2 separate regions of the Mus musculus genome follow, and region 2 is reported to be linked to region 1. Evidence: microRNA targets listed by miRTarBase, many of them from high-throughput screens and not tested one by one. Region 1 holds a microRNA gene; the other region holds the end of a gene's coding sequence.

What was found. Region 1 holds the annotated microRNA mmu-miR-296-3p (GAGGGUUGGGUGGAGGCUCUCC, at 2,138-2,159, opposite strand). A microRNA usually pairs through its seed, bases 2 to 8, with sites in the 3' UTR of a target mRNA and lowers its output. Matches are read on the target gene's strand: a 7mer-m8 pairs with bases 2 to 8, a 7mer-A1 pairs with bases 2 to 7 and ends in A, and an 8mer does both.
Region 2: miRTarBase lists Tnf as a target of mmu-miR-296-3p. The part of its 3' UTR that is shown has no 7-base or 8-base seed match.

Annotation. Positions count from the first base shown.
Region 1 is chr2:174,264,921-174,270,436 of GRCm38, forward strand. It overlaps Mir296 (microRNA 296), which reads right to left and starts at 2,205; the gene lies at 2,127-2,205. Mir298 (microRNA 298) reads right to left here and starts at 2,665; the gene lies at 2,584-2,665.
Region 2 is chr17:35,195,573-35,200,572 of GRCm38, forward strand. Tnf (tumor necrosis factor) reads right to left here. Exons shown (of 4, transcript NM_013693.3): 4 at 3,795-4,991. The coding sequence ends at 4,573. It overlaps Ltb (lymphotoxin B), which reads left to right. Exons shown (of 3, transcript NM_008518.2): 3 at 132-733. The coding sequence ends at 574. Among named protein-coding and RNA genes, the nearest start is that of Mir6973a, 3.1 kb to the left of the region's middle.

The DNA.
Region 1 (5,516 bases):
AGGCAGGGAGCAGAACCTCTCAGCGAGTTTCAGACATTTAAATGCTGGGTTATAATCCTGGACAACAATTGGTTCAACTGCTCAGTTTTGACTCTTGGTAGCACTTACCATCAAACTTAGGTCACTCTGAGCTCTACAACAGCACATCCATGCTCCAGGTTCATCCAGTAGTACTAAGAACCACCCATTTCCTTCCTCAGAAGTTGGATCCCTTAGTTAGTAAATGGTCTTTGCACCAAAGTCTAGGTAGAACAGGGAGAGACATGGCCATGCGTGTGCATGCCTGGTGAGTCCTACCTACTTTGTCTGTCTGTCTGTGAATGAAGGGAGACTTCCTTATACCACTGGAACCTTTGCTAGGCCACAGGTTCTCATACTTAACTGTCCCAGGCAGCAGGATAGTTAGACAGAGTTGAAGACAGGTGACAACCCACATGCTATATGTATTTTGTTTCCTTTGAATTAATTTGTAATTAAGTTAGGTAAAAAAATCAGTGCAGCTAACAGACACCATGATCTCCCAGTAGAGTCAGTCATTTGTCCCCAGTATGATCTGGGACAAGGTCTAAAAAGCTTCTGCTGTGACAGGATGGGGGTAGTGGCTTCTGGAATCTAGTGAATACAAGCCATGGGAATTCACTTCCTTTCGTGCTCAAGAGGCCCCCAGAATCTCAGTCCAGCCTCATGAGACCAGTGGCCAGGCCAAGGGTACACATGACTAGAGCTAAGGACCCCAGGGGATCCTTGCTCAGAGAGCAGCTGCCCCTTATCCAATTATGTTTTCTCCCAGAGTCTCTCCTGACACATGTGGTGATTTTTGCAGTTCTTGATGCCAACCATTCTCTCCCACTAGTAACACAGCCAGGAGAGTCTTACCTCTTTGTCAAGACAATGGCTACAGACAAGGAAGAGGGTGGGAAGATGAGTGGCAGGTAACACTAAGAAGGAGGCTCAGTGCAGAGGAGTGTTGGAAAAGCAGAAACAGCAGGCCTGAGGACAGCGGCCTATGGCTGGTGAGTGAGTAGCTTGTTGGGGCTTCCCAAAGGAAGAGAACTGAAGTTTATAGAATTCATATCTGAGGGTTTTACTCTAGCTTCTGCTCACGAGACGGCTGATACACAGCCTCCCATTTGGGCTTCACAGCCTTCACTCCCTGTTTAGTGCTTAACCTGCACTATTGGTTTGAATCTTCTTCAATGTCTCTCTATCCATCCATCCACCCACCTACCCGCGCATCTATCCACACACTCATCTGTTCCCCCTCCTACCCCCCATCCCTCCCTCCCTCCCTCCCGCCCTCCCTCTATTCAGAGTTTACTGTACTCTAAATGAAAGGTGCTCCAGCCCTCTTGCAGTTGAGTTAAATCTAATTAATGGGAAGAGACACTAAGAAGCAAGATCAAGCCAGGTGTGTGCTAGAAGCAAGCTGGTGAAGTGGGATGAGTGATGGGCACACCAGGCAGAGCTGGGTAGAGCGCAGAGCACAGATGAGAACAACACCAAACAATCTTTCTTCGTGAATTTATTAGGCAGATACTGTGTCACACTTGGGAGAGGCTGGGTGTGAGTAACTCAAAACTGGGTGCCTGACACCCTCCCCCCCCAGCTCAGTCTTACAGGGGTGGTTCACCAAAATGCCTTCTAGACTGGACACAGCAGTTTATGCCAGAAATGCTGGAGTCTAAGGCATAAGGATTCCAAGTTTTAAGGCCAGTATGGATAATTCAGTGAGATCTTGTCTCAAAAATAAATAAATAAATAAATAAAAAAGGGGGGCTGCCATGAAGACCGGTGTGGATCTGACTGATGTCCATCCCACTCCTGTAGGAAAGAAAAGATAAGTGAAAGGAAAGCAAACAACCACATCAAGGAAGGTCTGGTGCTAGGAAGCAAGTTTCCCAGCCAAGGATACAGAAGAGTAGGGAGATACTACACAAGGTGGTACAAGCCCAGGGAAGCAGGGCACTATTAGCCTAGAGCAGACAGGGTGGGGTCAGGTCTCTGGTACCCCATGAGCACTAACTGGGGGGCAGGACTAGTCTAGCAGAGGCTGCCACTGGGATCAAGCCAAAGACAGCAAGCATTCTCTAGAGCCCCAAGGGACTACTTACCATGCGACGCTCTGCGGACACCTTCAGGAGAGCCTCCACCCAACCCTCTGAAGCGAGCACAACAGGATTGAGGGGGGGCCCTCCAGAAAGGCCCTCTTGTCACCTTCCACATAGGCTGTTCTGTGTGCACACAGATGGAGATCCCCTCTTAGGGGCCCTGCCTCTGTCTCCCCAACCCCAAGACCCTAGGAGGGTCTCTTTCTGTAGTCTCGAATGCCCACTAACCTGGATCTTGGCCCGCTCACCCGCTTCCCAGCTACGTGCGCTCAGAAGCCACTGCATCGACAATGGGAAGGTGGCAGTCTTAGTAGTAGGCTCAGGGCATTATGACAAGACCTCAAAGTTCTCCATGGCTTTTAGAAACATCTATCTCTGACTCCACCAGCTACCTTGATGGGTGGGGGAACTTAGAGGATGAGTTCCGTGTGTCAACCAGCAACATTCTCCTGGAGATCGGAAGGAAGCTGTTGGCCCACTCCTAAGCTGAGAGAAGGCTAGTTCCTCCCAGTCATAAAACTCAAGGGAAGAACAGCCCTCCTCTGCCAAAGGCCTGGGCCTCTTATGCCTCTTGGTGTCTCTTTCAAGCACGGCAGGAACGTCCCAGCCTACCTCAAATAGCTGTGGTGCTCAGGAAGCAGTCAATTGGGCAGGAGCTAGTTAGTGGGGGTCCAGAGACACTCATCTCATGGCCAGATCTGTCTATGACCACTCCATCCAATGGACTCACTCACTTGCATGTAGTAGCACAAAGAGGGCCATGGTGTGGCAAGTATCCTGTACAGTAAACCCTCTTGTTCTATCAAGGTGCCATTATGAACCAATCAAACCATTTCTAAGCAGCCCTGTAGATTCCCACGCTCCAAGAAGGATCCACCTTGCTGGGCCTCTGCTCCAGCAAGACCCACCTCCCAACTCAAATGCCCCACCCCATGGGTGCTGACTGGGTCTCTGTGAGGTGAAAAATCAATCCATACCTGAGGAGGAAGAACCCCCAAGTTCTCCTACTTAGCAAACCTTTTCCTCAGGACTGAATGTTGTGCTCACAGCAGAAGCAGCTGAAGAAGTGCAGGCTCCAATCCTTGAGGCTCCCCATCACACAAGGCTTCAAAGGCAGGACTGTGCTGAGAGCTCAGAGGTGCTTAGAACAGAGAGATGGGGTAGGGAATGTTAAGACATAAACAAAACAGACACACAGCCGCTAAGGTCATAGTTTTAAGCTCTTCAACTTAATGGTTCTGTCCTAGTAGCCAAACAGCCATCAGAAGACATATTTATGGGCAATCTTTTGGCTACTGTCTGACCATGTGAGACACAAGAGCCATGTTTTTGAAAACACAGGTCCTTTTCTAATGAATGCAGGTCGTTAACGAAATAGGCTTGGAAGTCATCTTCTAAGGCCTTTGTCCATGACCCTAGACAAATCATCTTCCCAGAGTTCACTTGTACGGGGCCCTCAGCCAGGGCAAGCACTGAGGACAAGAAATCAAGTCTAGAGACTTCAGAAAAGGCTTCCTTTCTCTTTTCTGAAACTCTTTGGTTGAGCAGAGAAGAGAGACGGAGCAGAGCCATCATGCTCCCACGGGTGCAGTAGAGCAACAGTGGGAGGCAGAAGCAAACAGAAGAACAGTGAGGCCCATCACAGAAAGACACATCTGATGGACACCCACCCACCCTTGATCCCAACCATCAACATGGACAACCAACCCAGGCACCCATAGGTAACAAGGCTGGGACAGCTGGGGATGGTGTCAGGCCCAAGAGCTGCTCAGCACAGAAGGGTCACAGGAATCCTGCGCTAAGTGGCTCTCAGAAAAGGGGTGCATCACCACCAAGCTGTGAGGGGCTGAGGTACTTTGTACTCCCTCTGAAGTCCTCCCCCCAGAGGAAGAGCACAGTTTTAGTGTGAGCCCTTTGCGGAGTCCTCTCCCCTCTGTGCAGTTGTTCCCAATACATCTGACTTGGCGGCTAGAGATGTGGCTCCAAGTGTTGGCCATATAAGCCCCTTTCCCATCACTCAGAAAACAGAGAAATGCCAGGAGGTACACGTAGCTCTCCAGGCTGCCAAGAAGGTGAGCTGGTGACTTTAGAGGTGCTGCGAGAGAAGCTACTGTAAGCGGGCCCCATCATCTTCAAGGACACTCTAGAGTTGTTCCTTCAAAACTGTGTAGCACTCAGTCCAGCTCTCAGCTGCAAGGAGAGAGGATGCTCTGTATCTTCACTTGGGGTGGATGTCTGTCTTATCTGTCCAGCAGACTACAAAGACCCATCCCTAGCTACAGGCTGAGTTGCAAAAGAGCTGAAGATCCCACAAGTACGAGGGAGGGTGCCTCTTGCTTACACTGTCAGAGGCCCCAGAGAAAGCCTCTCTGACTTGACCGTTTCGGTGAACATTGCCCCAAATCCTCATTCGAGGGTAGCTCAGACCTCCATCAGCCCCAGTCACCCCTCAGCTTCTGCTCACATGAAGAACCACTTGACTCCTGAGTGTACCAGAGCCCCTGCAAGGGCAGCTAGGAGCCACGAGCCACTCCTCCAAGTAGACACCTCACATGTGGCCCTCAGTGCTTGTTAAGTGTGCTCCTATGTGCCTTCCTATAGCTCCCAGCCAGCTCATCCCAAACCTATGCCCTCAGCCCCAGCGGCTATCTCCCTCACAGCTCTGCTGCACCGAGGTCTCTGATGGCCTAAACTCAGCTCAGCCTAAGTATCATCTTGGACCCCCTTCAAAAGGCTTTTCAGTGCCCGCCAGGGTTGGAAAATAGGCTCTGGACACCAGCTACCCCCTCAGTCAGAAGCGGGCTTGACTCCTACTCCTCAGCGAGGTGGCCCTCGGCAAGTTGGGAGCTCGGCTGCAGCTAGGCTTCTCTCTAGTTGCCATGAAGTTGAAGTGAATTAAATGAACACGTAGTCCCCCAAGGCCTAGGCCTCTGCGCTGCAGACTCTACAAACAGGTCAATAAGAATGAGGCCTTCTGAATTACTAAGGCTGAGCTTGGAGCAATAAGCAACTCACACAGCGACATAGTGACACAGTGCCATCCTGAAGCCCACAGGACTTAGGCCTTGGGAGATAGGGATCAACCAAGTCTCACTGTTTCCAAGAAAAATACCTTTTCCCAAGAAGCAAGACTGAGCCGGGGAGAAGGAAATGGAGGGAACCCAGGAGACATAGGGTAGAGATGAACACAGGAGCCTCCTTCCCTGTCTGCTCATATGCTGAGAGAGGCAAGCTGCAGATACCAGGACCTTCTTGGTGACTTCTATCCTCTCTATGCCAGGCTAGGCCCTACTCAGTTGGGGTGAAGGGAGGCCCAGGGACAGACAGCTTAGATGTTTTGTTGCCATGGCAATTGCCTAACTCTGTGGTACAAGCCACAGGTTACTAAGGGGCCACAAGGAGGGAACC
Region 2 (5,000 bases), not on the chromosome of region 1:
CCTGCCCCTCCCCGCTAAGTACCACAGAAGGAGGAAGACCCCGCTCCTCCGCTCCAGGTCCCTGCTCATCCTGCCCGGGTCTCCGACCTAGAGATCACGGCCCGAGCGCTCACGCGTGTCCCTTTCTGCAGGCGCTTGGATGAGTGGGCAAGGGCTCAGCTGGGAGGCGAGCCAAGAAGAAGCGTTTCTGAGGAGCGGCGCGCAGTTCTCCCCCACCCACGGGCTGGCGCTGCCACAGGACGGCGTCTATTACCTCTACTGCCACGTCGGGTACAGGGGCAGGACGCCCCCTGCCGGCCGAAGCCGTGCTCGCTCGCTCACGCTGCGCAGCGCCCTGTACCGCGCGGGGGGCGCCTACGGGCGAGGTTCCCCCGAGTTGCTGCTGGAGGGCGCGGAGACAGTCACACCTGTTGTGGACCCCATCGGGTACGGGTCGTTATGGTACACGAGCGTGGGGTTCGGCGGCCTGGCGCAGCTCCGGAGCGGCGAGAGGGTCTACGTTAACATCAGTCACCCCGACATGGTGGACTACAGGAGAGGGAAGACCTTCTTCGGGGCGGTGATGGTGGGGTGACAGCCATCTGTATTCATTCCTGGAGGATCGACTGACGGTGCGAATGTGTGAATCGTGATGTCCGGGACCCCGACAGTCCCGAGCGGCCGGGGGCGTGGCGGGGGGGGGGGAGAACGGAATGTAGGACACGAATTTTGAAAATAAAGAATGTAAACTATGCCGGCCCTTGCCAGTGTCTTCACGGAAATGCAGACGTGGTTTTTGATTCTGGGACACGTGCAGGTGTGGCTGACCCAGCTTTGAACTGTGGACACCTGTTGCACCCACGTCCTGGCTCTAAGGCCAGGGCTCCAAGAGGGCGGAAGAAGGGACAATTAAACCCTGAGACTTCTGCCAGCACCCTGATTGCCAGGATGCTGAAAGGTTAGGGAGGTTGGTTGAGGTTTGTTAGCAGCTGCGGGTCGGTCAAAGAAGAAACGAAAGGAAAGATATTAGACTCACGGATTTTCCTAATCCTTATTTCTATCCTATCTAGTGTTAGGGGGTGAAACCAGGGCGAGAAAGGGTGGGAGAAAGAATCCACAAAGTAGCAAAGACCTGGTCCCCACAAGACCCCCTCACATACACCCTTGCTCCTGGCTTCTGCCTCTGTGAGGAGGAGCCAACAGGAGAAGGTAGGCAGGATTCGTTCCCAGAGAGAAAAACTACAAAGACTGTGGAACAAAGCTCCGTGGGTTGGGCCCATCAGTTCAGTTGGGCCTGATAGGTTATATGTATGTAGTATGTATGTAATGTATGTATGGATGGATGTATGCTCTATCTATCTATCTATCTATCTATCTATCTATCTATCTATCTATCTATCTATCTATCTATCTATCTATCTATAGTCCGGGTCTCATATATAGTCCTGGGTCACCTGGAACTCTCCAGGGCTGGGGCTAAAGGCATGGACCACCACGGGTTCTGACAGCCCTTCTTTAAGGGGCAGCAGGTCAGTCGCAGGCACGTTAAGGGGCAGACTAATGAAGAAAGCAAAGGAGCTGAAAATGGCAGGGGTGGGGTGGGGGAGGGGATTGTGTCCGAGGAGGAGGAGTTCCAGGAGGAAGCCGATGCCCTGGGGTCCTTTCTAGAAATGGAATGTCTTCACCTTTGGTTCACACAAAGTTGGGCAAGTGGGAGGCCCCTACGATGAGTAACAGCAGCCCCCCCCCCCCCACGCCATGGCTGGAGGAGGCAGAGGGGGACCCAGGCACTATCTAGGTCACCCCAGTGGGTCACCCCTACCCCCCACCCCACCCCAGCATACCACGTGGTTGGTTTTTCCCTCTCTACACGGGTGCAGGAAGGCCCAACCAACAAAGAGCCCACTGGGGTTTCATTTTCTCTTCTCTTCTCTTCTCTTCTCTTCTCTTCTCTTCTCTTCTCTTCTCTTCTCTTCTCTTCTCTTCTCTTCTCTTTTTTAAAAGATTTATTTATTTATTATATGCAAGTACACTGTAGCTGTCTTCAGACACTCCAGAAGAGGGAGTCAGAAGACTTGTTACGGATAGTTGTGAGCCACAATGTGGTTCCTGGGATTTGAACTCAGGACCTTTGGAAGAGCAGTTGGTGCTCTTAACCACTGAGCCATCTCTCCAGCCTCTTCTCTTCTCTTCTCTTCTCTTCTCTTCTCTTCTCTTCTCTTCTCTTCTCTTCTCTTCTCTTCTCTTCTCTTCTCTTCTCTTCTCTTCTCTCCTCTCCTCTCCTCTCCTCTCCTCTCCTCTCCTCTCCTTTCCCTTCCCTTCCCTTCCTTTCCTCTTCTTTTCTCTGTTCTTTCTTCCTTCTTTCCCTTTTTCTCCTCCTCCTCCCCCTCCTCCCCCTCCTCTTCCTCCTCTTCTTCCTTCTCTTCCTCTCTCTCCTCTTCCTTCTCCCACTGACCTTGAAGCCCTCAACAATTTACCTGCCCCTACCTCCGAAGTGTTGGGATTAAAAGCATGGCTACACACCCACTCCTTATGTGCTTTGGACCTTCTGCACAGAGCCTTCCAGTGGGGTGAGAGGGTGACCAATTTTGGCTAAAGTCTAGTCAGGCTTCAGAATCTTCTATACCTAGTCATTGCCTTCCTTGTAAAACCTAGTTTTCGTGAAAAGCCCCATTCAGTCGGTTTAGCAAGCTCCCTCTCCTAGACTGGATCACCCTCAGTCATCCCGTGCAGCCCCTGAGGTGATGTCTGCTCACCTGGCCTGTCTCAACAGGCGTCTTGTCTGATCTGTTTAGACAAAGTCCCCCTACCCCGGATTTTTCTTTCCTCTTAGTCATTTGCCATCCCCCTAACGCCCACCCTGCTGGGGCTCTTAAGACCCACTTGCTCTCATTGAACACTCTACAACAAGTCTCTGCACCAATAACTAATTCTGAATAAAGTCGGCCTTGCCTGCTTCAGCAAGTACTATTGAATAACAACAACAATAAATTATTATTATTATTATTATTATTATTATTATTATTGGTGTTGGGATCAAATCCAAGCCTGCATATGTGATTAAGTAATTTAAAAACCAACAACAACAACAAAGCATTTAAACAAGGTGTTTTTCTCTTTCCAATCCACCCACCTCAATACATTCATCATTTGTCTGAAACACTGGAAAACCAAAGCCAGCAATGGCTCCTTCTTTGTTGTGTTGCTTTGGGTTTTGAATTCAGGGTATCCCATACACTGAGCATCCACCCTCACCCCAACATGCTCCACAGAGTCACATTTTCAGCCCTGTGTCTTTTTAAAAACTATTTCACTCATCTTCAGAGGTTTGGAAAAATAAAGGGGCTGGTGACCGAAAGGCAGAGCTGGCTGAGCCCAGCCCAGCATGGAGCAGGGATAGAGCTTAGGTCTCCTCTCCGTGGACCATGCCCGCTCTGTCTGTTCAGAGGCAGGTTGAATGGTGCAGGGTGCGCAGTTAGACACCTGAAGCTCTGCGGCTCTTCCTTGGCTGTGATTCAGGTGCCTGAGAATGTGGCTCCTCCCCAGCTCCATGGGAGCCACAACAGCCGGAAAGAACTGCAGTACTTTCCCAGCAGGTATTGGAATTCCCAGAGTGGGAAATTCCCATGCCCCAGGGCAAAGGTAATTAGGGTTAGGCTCCTGTTTCCGGGGGAGAGGTAGGGATGTTGGCTGCCTTTTGTTCCACGGGGGTCTTGGGGGTCTTAATGGCCCAGGGGTATAAAGACTGAGATCTGGACCCAGAGACTTTAGGCCTCCGCAAAGAGATGGATGCAGACTTCATCCCAAGACAGAAATCACATTTCTTTTCCAAGCGATCTTTATTTCTCTCAATGACCCGTAGGGCGATTACAGTCACGGCTCCCGTGGGGAGCAGAGGTTCAGTGATGTAGCGACAGCCTGGTCACCAAATCAGCGTTATTAAGACAATTGGGTTAGATAAATATTTTGTTTTAAACATAAGCAAAAGAGGAGGCAACAAGGTAGAGAGGCCAGGTGGGGACAGCTCAGCTCCGTTTTCACAGAAAACATGTCTGTCTGAAGACAGCTTCCCACACTGGGTCCTCCAGGACACCCCGGCCTTCCAAATAAATACATTCATAAGCAAATAAATAAATAATAAATAAATAATAAATAATAAGTGCAAATATAAATAGAGGGGGGCTGGCTCTGTGAGGAAGGCTGTGCATTGCACCTCAGGGAAGAATCTGGAAAGGTCTGAAGGTAGGAAGGCCTGAGATCTTATCCAGCCTCATTCTGAGACAGAGGCAACCTGACCACTCTCCCTTTGCAGAACTCAGGAATGGACATTCGAGGCTCCAGTGAATTCGGAAAGCCCATTTGAGTCCTTGATGGTGGTGCATGAGAGGCCCACAGTCCAGGTCACTGTCCCAGCATCTTGTGTTTCTGAGTAGTTGTTGAAAGCTCTGAGCACAGAGTTGGACCCTGAGCCATAATCCCCTTTCTAAGTTAGAAGGATACAGACTGGGGGCTCTGAGGAGTAGACAATAAAGGGGTCAGAGTAAAGGGGTCAGAGTGGGGGCTGGGTAGAGAATGGATGAACACCCATTCCCTTCACAGAGCAATGACTCCAAAGTAGACCTGCCCGGACTCCGCAAAGTCTAAGTACTTGGGCAGATTGACCTCAGCGCTGAGTTGGTCCCCCTTCTCCAGCTGGAAGACTCCTCCCAGGTATATGGGCTCATACCAGGGTTTGAGCTCAGCCCCCTCAGGGGTGTCCTTGGGGCAGGGGCTCTTGACGGCAGAGAGGAGGTTGACTTTCTCCTGGTATGAGATAGCAAATCGGCTGACGGTGTGGGTGAGGAGCACGTAGTCGGGGCAGCCTTGTCCCTTGAAGAGAACCTGGGAGTAGACAAGGTACAACCCATCGGCTGGCACCACTAGTTGGTTGTCTTTGAGATCCATGCCGTTGGCCAGGAGGGCGTTGGCGCGCTGGCTCAGCCACTCCAGCTGCTCCTCCACTTGGTGGTTTGCTGAGGGGG